Linked DNA regions of Arabidopsis thaliana. The protein of the gene in region 3 interacts with the protein of the main gene of each other region in a pairwise test. Each region holds a gene or a part of one and is shown on either strand. Other genes may lie near its edges. The genes, in order: AGL55, AGL56 and AGL103.

Evidence for each region.
Region 1: the proteins of AGL103 (region 3) and AGL55 interact in a two-hybrid assay, tested with the Arabidopsis thaliana proteins (one large-scale study listed by BioGRID).
Region 2: the proteins of AGL103 (region 3) and AGL56 interact in a two-hybrid assay, tested with the Arabidopsis thaliana proteins (one large-scale study listed by BioGRID).

What each region holds. Positions count from the first base shown.
Region 1 is NC_003070.9:22,429,069-22,432,011, forward strand, and holds AGL55 (AGAMOUS-like 55), read right to left. Parts: upstream 1,294-2,943; 5' UTR 1,200-1,293; coding exon 624-1,199; downstream 1-623.
Region 2 is NC_003070.9:22,410,031-22,412,818, forward strand, and holds AGL56 (AGAMOUS-like-56), read left to right. Parts: upstream 1-1,544; coding exon 1,545-2,150; downstream 2,151-2,788. Other genes in the region: MEE9 (maternal effect embryo arrest 9), read left to right, coding at 1-197; AT1G60890 (Phosphatidylinositol-4-phosphate 5-kinase family protein), read right to left, coding at 2,422-2,701.
Region 3 is NC_003074.8:6,416,701-6,420,418, reverse strand, and holds AGL103 (AGAMOUS-like 103), read left to right. Parts: upstream 1-1,914; coding exon 1,915-3,075; downstream 3,076-3,718. Other genes in the region: PGSIP1 (plant glycogenin-like starch initiation protein 1), read left to right, coding at 1-479, 936-1,208. UniProt on the Arabidopsis thaliana protein: Probable transcription factor that may function in the maintenance of the proper function of the central cell in pollen tube attraction.

The DNA.
Region 1 (2,943 bases), on a different chromosome or scaffold from region 3:
ATTTTCTTTTTGGTATGAAATCTCTAGAGATAATTCTTTTCGTTTGTTCTGTTTGGTATGAAATCTCTAGAGATAAGAATAGTTACATGTCTTAGAATGAAACATTCCCTGCGATCTAATGGATAAGTTTATGGATAGGTTTAGTTACGATTATAGCAGCAATAATATATGGGAAAACTAGCTTCATGGACACAGAGACCAGCACTCATCTTCAAAAGAACACAACATGAGTTTCTCAAATCCTCTTTCTCTATCTCCAGTGGAATTACACACTACTGTACCAAGCCACCACGAGGCCGAGACAGAGCCAACAGAGTTCGAGAAGAATCAGAAACGGTACAAAGACCTAATCGCCACCTTTCTTCATACCAAAGGCTGGACAACTGACTTGTTTGCTAATAAAATCGACAATGAACCTTTCTTTTGTTATTTAATTAAATGTATTTCAGTCTCAATCAAACTGAACAAAATTTTGGTTTTATATTAGTAGCTTTTTTTTTTCCCAAACCAAAACACCGAAAAAATCCAAAAAATAATAATGCACAGCTAGATTAGATAATAGCCTAAATAAACAAGACATGATGATTAAGTAAGTTGGTTAAATCAAAGGATCAATGTTGAAATCAGTAATAACGATCATCAATGTGTAGATTATCCACTACGTTCTTTAACAAACTTGCAGAAGCGGAAGTTTCACCTTCGAGTTTGGTAATTTGATTTGTGTCTTTGTAGCCAAGCTGAAGAACCTCCTCATCCTCCTGATGAATCACTAAACTTCCATCTCTTTGATTGCTCTTCACGGCATCATCTAATCGTAGCCTCACATTGTTCAACATCCTCGAAACCGCATCGACTGCCTCTTTCAACTCGTCGACGTTCTCCAATCTGTCAAAGGCTTGGTCTTCCCACCAAAACCCTAACCCTGATCTGTTATCTTGGTTTGTGGGAAGAGATGGATGCTGATTGTGAAGGAGAGAGGAGACAACGTGATCGACAGAGGAATGACCGAAAGAGTAGAAAGAAGCATGGGAGTGGGAAGAAAGAGGAGTTGCTAAGATTGCGATTTGAGTCCCCGGAGAGAGGAGACAGAGCTCTGAAGCTTTGTGGAAGAGTCCGCTTTTGCGTTTTGTGAAAGCAACTGCTCTCACGTTCTTATCTTCGATTCTCTTCATCTCTATCTTTCTTTTTGTGCCTCCCATATTGAAACTTCAAAGGAAGAAAGCCAAATTACAGACAGAGATTGTTTGAAACTTGTAGAAAGCTAATTACACAGAAAGACAGAGATTGTTTTCATCGTCCTCTCTTTATACTAGTGTACTCTCTTCCCATATCTCAACTTTTTACATTATTGATTCATTCTCTATTAAGAAAATTTCCATAATGGGTTGTTTCCTTTTGTTTTTTTTTGGCAAAGGGGTTGTTTCCTAAGATTACCTTTTTTTGGAACTATTTTGGTAAAATACATAAGAGTACTACTCTTTTCTACTTGTTTTTCCTTTTTTTATGTTCACATTCTCTCATATGCCAAAACCCTAACCTTAGAGACGGTTTCTTGCGCGACAAGAGACACTCTATATCGTCTCTTTCCTCTGTTTGTCGAGTGGCTAAGATGCGATTATGGACAGAGGAGTCGTTGAAACTAATATTTGGTAGAGGTTATTAAATAGTTCGCAGTGGAGACATTTAGGGGTCGTGAATTGAGATTATAAGATAACCCATTGAAACTAGGGTTTTGCAATTACACAAATTTAAATATGAGGAAAATTTGACACGTGATACCGAAAGGATGATTTGAATTGCATGAGTATATAAATAGTTGCAGAATATGACATATTAACAATAGTTCATGGGACATGGTGGATTAGGTGTAAAGGTTTATTTAACCTAACCCTAAATCACACCCCGGTATGGGCAAATATGTTGCTTGACAGATGGTATTGAATTACTATTTTTGCAAATGTAAATGATTTCTATAGCTTCTTAATTTTTTAGTTTGTTTGGGTCCTTTAAAGTTTATGAACGTGTTATTTTTTGTTCTTCACTACCTTTTTGTGAGACTGACTCGCACTCCAATCGGGATCATCATCTTCTGCTACATTCGGATTAACGTTCTCGTCTCTTCTCCTCTTCCCTGAACCGGGACGGGTTTTGTAGTGGTCGTTGATGGTTGAATCTATGGTTTCCAATAACCGATCTCCGTATTTGCTCACCTTGGCTCTGTTTAGAGTTTAAAACACCAAAATCCCCCGAGTTTTCTTCATACCTTTGGTTATACAAAGAGAGAGAGTAGCGTTCAAAAAGCTTCAAGATACTTACTTTCCTAGACCATTGATATCAAGGAGTTCCTCTTTGGTTCTGGGAAGTCGTTTACTTATCTCTTTAAGCGTCGCATTGCTATAAACACACAAGGATTTTTCTATTACTTATGATCTGAGAAAGAAACTGAAAATATCATTAAATGGATCGTCAACTTACCCGAATATATGATATGCCATGACTAAATCTGGCGATTCTTTGACAATATCAGTCCGAAGATTTTTCAAGGCTGTCAACAAAATGCCGGAGAGATTCTAGACCGACATTGAGAAAAAATAAGCAGCCTTTAGCAATTTAGAGTGGTGGTTTTTAATCTTTGAGCAATAGATAGAAACAAGGATACAAGAAGATATACCGAATCTTGTGGGGCAGCTTTTGCCATTGGAAGGGTAGTTTGCTTAAGTGGAACTTTTGCTGGATTTGCTGTGGATTTGCTCTGCTTTGACACTTTTATGGTCGAAGGAAATCTGTAAGAGATATGCAAGTCTTAGCTAAAACTAACCTTTTTCAAAACGAATAAACATATAACCAACTCTATTAGCTCGCTCAAGAATATAGAACTACTGAAGAGCAGCAATAACATTGCAGTAAGAACAGGTAGATTTCAGAACATTTCCCAACGTTTGA
Region 2 (2,788 bases), on a different chromosome or scaffold from region 3:
AGATGGAGAGGATGGAGGCGGCGGAGCTGAAAGAGCTTGAGGAGAAAGCGGAGACTGCTCGGAGAACGGGGAATTTAATGGAGAAAGCGGCGACAGTTGCCGCGAAACGACATATTGCGGCGGCGATGGGATCAGCCGCCGCGTCTATGAGATCAGCTTGGAAGACTGCAGCTGGAAATAAGGTTCATCCATCTTGATCGATGATGATGATGATGAATATGATAAGATGACGATGATTGTCAAAGTATTGGTCCCCATGTTATAGGATTAGTAGGTCAAGAACATTTTAATGAATAATTATTTCCTTTGATAAACATATGGGTTACTACTTACTATTGCCGAAGAATTATGAATTATAGGTAGTTTCTAGTTTATGTATCTGTAATTTGTAATCAATATATATTTATGGGATTATAGGAAGTCGTAAAATGTGGTACTAGTTTATTGGTTTGATGGTAGAACAGAAAAAAAAAAAAAAAAATTGGTGGGACACCTAAAAGTACGAAAAAATTACATAAAAAATATGCGTCATTCGGTTTTAGAAAGAAAGATATGTATGTGATGTTGTTATTCTATTATGCGGAAGCATTAAAGTTTGGGTGATTTAGTGACAAATTTGTCATAGAATCGACACATAGATCAGAATTGAGACAACGAACGAAAATCAACTATAAACCACCGTTTAAGTGCCCTTTCGGTTTCGACAAAAAAATGTGCCATTTCGGCTGATCTCTCGAAGCTTTATCTCTCCAAAATGTTTACATATGGCGCTTATGGAAAAGCAGAAACACGCTTATGTTCCATCAAACCAATAAACTAGTACCACATTTTACGACTTCCTTATAATCCCAAATATACTGTATATTGATTACAGTATACAAATTATTTTTACTCTAAAATGGTGCGTATCACAATACTCACCAAAAGAAAAGATCATTCATTAACACCAAATGATTAACAAATTAACAACAATGCCTAAAATGTCTCCACCGCGAACTATTTATATAATCTCCGACCAAGACTGCGTTGGCAAACTATCCGTCTTCGACGCTCCTCTGTTCATCAGATACCATATTTCTTGGCCCGCAAGAAATTATCTCTAGGGTTAGGGTTTTCGCAGATGGGTCATGGAATAAATGCGGTAATGCAAGAGGTTTTGGATTTGGGTTTACAATACTGTAAAAAAAATTATCTTCGCTCCAAAAAGTGAACCAAATAAAATTAGATTTGTTTGTTTTACTTTTTTCCTCCACGGGAAAGTAAATATATTAGTTCATTAAGAACACCACAAAAGAAAGGAAAAGAGTTCTCTACCTTTGTGTATTTTTTTTTCTAATTTTTTGCTAAGAGATTTTAGGAAAATAGTTAAAGAAAGGTAATATTAAAAAACATCTCAGATTATGGAAATTCTCCGAATATGGAATAAGACCAATAATGGGGAACATGCAATTAATTATGAAGAATAAATAAAATGTACTATAAAGAGAAGAATCTCTGTCTGTCTGTCTGTGTAATTGGGGTTTCTTTCTTGCAAGTGTTTCAACATGGGAGGCAAAAAAACAAAGATTGAGATTAAGAAGATCATAAACAAACCCGCAAAAACGGTTGCTTTCACAAAACGCAGGGAAGGTCTCTTCCGCAAAGCTTCACAGCTTTGTCTCCTCTCTCCAGCCACTCAAATCGCAATCTTAGCGGCTCCTATGACTTCCAAATCTCACGCTTCTTTCTACTCTTTCGGTCATTCCTCTGTCGATAACGTTGTCTCCTCTCTGCTTTATGACCATCCTCCTCTTACGGCAAACCAAGACAACAGGTCAGGGTTAGGGTTTTGGTGGGAAGACAAACGTTTTGACGTATCGGAGAACGTTGAGGAGTTAAAAGAGGCGGTCGATGCTGTTTCGAGGATGTTGAACAATGTGAGATGCCGATTAAATGATGCCGTGAAGAGTACTCAAAGAGATGGAGGTTTAGAGATTCTTCATCATCAGGAGGAGGAAGTTCTTCAGACTCGCAACGACGAGACAAAGACGAATCAAACTCACGAATTTGAAGGCGGCGAAACTTCTGGTTCTGCAAGTTGGTTAGAGAACGAGGATGATATTCTTCACTTTGATGATGATTTTTATACTGGTATTGATCCTTTGTTTTGATCAACTTATTTTATCATCTAATCTATTACTGATGCACTTGTTTGGATTTTAAGAGTGGCACAAATCTACTCAATAATAATAATATACGAAAACTTTTTCAAGTATATAAGATCCTAAATGTTAGTGTACATAAGGGCGAAAGAAGATTACGAGCCAAATCCCTCAGAGTCTTTTTATGGCTTATGAACAGGAAAGAATATTATCGGTCGAGTCAAATCATGGAACCTTTCATCTTTAGGAAGATCAATGGTCCGTTGATATCTCTCTCTCTCTATGCTTTTTCTGGGAATACCTTAAGGAGGAAATCGATGAATCGTTTAGAGTAAAGTGTAGGCTCGATGGCTGAAATTGTCATTGGATCATATTTCATAGATTTGCAAGTATGTTCCACTTTCTTCTTCATGTTGTACTCTTGGAGGATGTCAATGATGCCCATGTATACAACCACATCATATACTTCAAAGAGCTCGACCGTTCCTGATTCCTCGTTGTCTTGGCCGAGTTTGTGGTGGGCTTGAGCTGGCATGTTCACTCCTAACTGTACCCGGAGCCTGAATAAGATGATTCCAAAAGGTATGGTTGGGGACAATTTAATGAACAGGAAATAAGGTTATTGGACTCTGAGTGATCTTGTGGAG
Region 3 (3,718 bases):
ACAAAATCATTTTCATCGACGCGGATCTCTTAATCTTGAGAAACATCGATTTCTTGTTCTCGATGCCTGAGATCTCAGCTACAGGAAACAATGGAACTCTGTTTAATTCAGGAGTTATGGTGATCGAGCCTTGCAACTGTACGTTTCAGCTTCTGATGGAACATATAAACGAGATTGAGTCTTATAACGGTGGAGATCAAGGTTACTTAAACGAGGTATTCACATGGTGGCACCGGATTCCAAAACATATGAATTTCTTGAAGCATTTTTGGATTGGCGATGAAGATGACGCGAAACGCAAGAAAACAGAGCTTTTTGGAGCAGAGCCTCCTGTTCTTTATGTTCTTCATTACCTTGGGATGAAGCCGTGGTTATGTTACCGTGACTACGACTGTAACTTCAACTCCGACATATTCGTTGAGTTTGCTACCGATATCGCTCATCGAAAATGGTGGATGGTCCACGACGCCATGCCACAGGTGATTCACTCTCTCCTAAAAACCTTAATAGAACTCAAAAATCACATAATATTTTCAATCTCATATTGTGATCAATATTCAAAATATTATTAGGCGTTTAGTCATGCGTTGAGAGACTAACTGCATAGCATTATTTCTTTCTCAAAAATTTCCAAAACTTGAAAAAATAAATAAACTAAAAATTACTTACTACCCAAGTTTAGAATAACCATATGAAATTTGAATATACGAAAATCTTGGTGGGTTAGTAAATGCAGAATTAGCCCCCTACGCAGTAGGCATCAAGTTTTAATGTCTATGTTTTATACACCTTATAAAAAAATCATTTCAAATTTTCTTTCTTTATGATTAGTTTAAAAAAACATTGGTTGGCAGAAATATAAAAATAGTTAGACGTTTTCCCAAATTATTCTAAAATTGTGACGGTTAGTAATTACCATATATGATATTTTGCAGGAACTTCACCAATTCTGTTACTTGCGATCCAAGCAAAAGGCACAGCTGGAATATGATCGCCGGCAAGCAGAGGCCGCAAATTATGCCGACGGTCATTGGAAAATAAGAGTAAAGGACCCGAGATTCAAAATTTGCATCGACAAATTATGTAATTGGAAAAGTATGCTGCGGCATTGGGGCGAATCAAATTGGACTGACTACGAGTCTTTTGTTCCCACCCCACCAGCCATTACCGTAGACCGGAGATCATCACTTCCCGGCCATAACTTGTGACGCAATAATTATACATACTTATTAATGGATTTCATGAGTTTTTTGGTTTGAATTGTTGCTGCGAGATTAGGTGAATATCAGTTGTGTAACTATATCTTTTTCCTATAGTTTGTTCAAATTGAATAAAACATTTTTTTGCAGTTTAACCACAAAATAAAACATATGTCGTATTTATATGCCATTTTTGTATACAAACACAAACTCAAAAATGTTAGTAACATTCAAATAGTTTATACAGAAACGATAGATTATAGACTTACATATAGCCAAACAACACAAATTAATTGATGTAACTAAACATATGTAGTATAATTAAACTTTCGAAAAATCCAAATTTTTAGTCGAATCGCAGTGTAGTATGTATACATTACGTATAGTATATAAATCTATGTGTGTGTATATCAGTGTATGTATTTGTGTATGTATGTACATGTGAAAAGAATCTCTACTAAAGATTTCCATAATATTCAACCAAAAACCAAAGTTTTCCTTATTAGTAAAACTACACCTTCGTTAAACATATAAATTGATTCTATGAGAAAAAAGTATATTAAAAAAGGCAATGAAATCTTCACCGCTTTCATTATTGATTCGTCATTAATTACCGAGCGAGACCAAAAATAGAAATTCTCGAACTAAGGGTTTTATATATTCGCAAACAATGATCACCACCTCTTCATTCAATTCACAGAGAATATACACAACCATGGCTTCTTCTTCGTCCTCTTCTCTTTCGTTTTCAACATCGAAGAAGAACAAAACCTTTTTCAAGAAACCTAATTCTGCTTTTTCTTCTTCGAGGGCCACAAGTTTGATCAAAAGACAACAGACTGTCTTTAAGAAAGCTAAAGAGCTTTCAATTCTCTGTGACATCGATGTCTGCGTCATCTGTTACGGATCAAACGGAGAGCTTAAGACATGGCCTGAAGAGAGAGAGAAGGTCAAAGCCATAGCTCGAAGGTACGGTGAATTAAGCGAGACGAAGCGTCGCAAAGGAAGCGTTGATCTTCACGAGTTCCTCGAGAAGATGAACAAGGATGATCCCGAGAAGGAGGAGAAGAAGAAGATTAAAGTGAGACGTGTACCCAAAGTCAAGTATCCAGTTTGGGACCCTAGGTTTGACAATTACTCTGTGGAGCAACTCATGGGACTGGTTCAGTCCTTGGAACGAAACCTAACCAGGATCCAACATAGGACTTGCGCTGTTGTTGAAGCTCAGGGGCAGAGGAGGGTACAGTACACGAACATGGCTAATCAAGAACTGATGATGGCTAATACGATGAATCAACTTCAACAACACTCAAACCAGGTTTCCATGTATCTGTGGAACCATGGAAACGGTGCTTTCTCACAAATCCCAGTCTCAGCATTGGCTTCAAACCAAACGCAATCTCTAGCTCCGATTCCGCCTGAACTGATGATTTACCCGAATTCGGATGCGGGAAATTACTCGGGGTCTCTCGGGGTACAAGGAACTGGGATCAATGGGCTTCAGAACATGAACATGTTAACCTATAACAACATCAACAGCGTTAATGATTTCTCAAAACAGTTTGACCAGAATTCCAGAGCGGAAAGTTACTCTAGCTTACTTGGGGTACACGAAGACGGAAACAATGAGTTTGAGAACCCTAACATGTCCAGCCGCAACAACTTCAATGTTCAAGACTGTGCAGGGTTACTTGGGATGCAAGGAGCTGGAACTAACGGGTTGCAGAGCATGAACATGCATGACTACAGTAACAACAACAGCATTAACTCTAATGGTCTTTCGCATCAGTATGTTCAATTTCCAACGTACAACAGCCAACATCAGGACCGGGTTTTCAATTTGGATCAAAACGGAAACAATACTAGGTCTCTCTAAGATCTATCACAATCTCTCTTATAGCTTCATAATTTTTGGTTTTTAATATCTCCTAGTTATATAACTAAGAAGCATATATATTTATAACTTTTGGTTAGTGCAATTATCAGTTTGAGACAGTATATCGATCTCCAAGTTTTCGATTATGTCTACTTTTATTTATTAGTGTAATGTGACTAAAAGACTAATAATGTCTCCCATGCTAGTGACTCTTTTCTTATACTACTTCTTTTTTTTGTTATCCTGAGATTCTTTTGTTTGTTATATTTATTGCTGAGAATTAAGACTAGTAATGTCTCCCATGTTAGTGACACTTTTCCTATACTTCCTCTTTTGTTATTCTGAGATTTTTTTTGGTTTGTTATACTTATTGCCGAGAATTTGATTATACGATTAATGTTTGATGAATAAAAAAACCCTAGGCAAGCTTTTAAGTTTTAAGACGGGTAAAGTAAAACACAATCAGAAATTACTTAAGCTAAAAAAATACTTTAGCAGCTCTCTCCAATCATATGTCCTCGCATTAAAAAGGGAAAAAGGTCAAAGAAATGAAAAATAGAAAAAAGTACAAAAGATCCAACTGGACAATAAAGTGTTGTGTTCGGCTTATTTAAGAAATAATCAACGGGTGAGATTAAAAGGA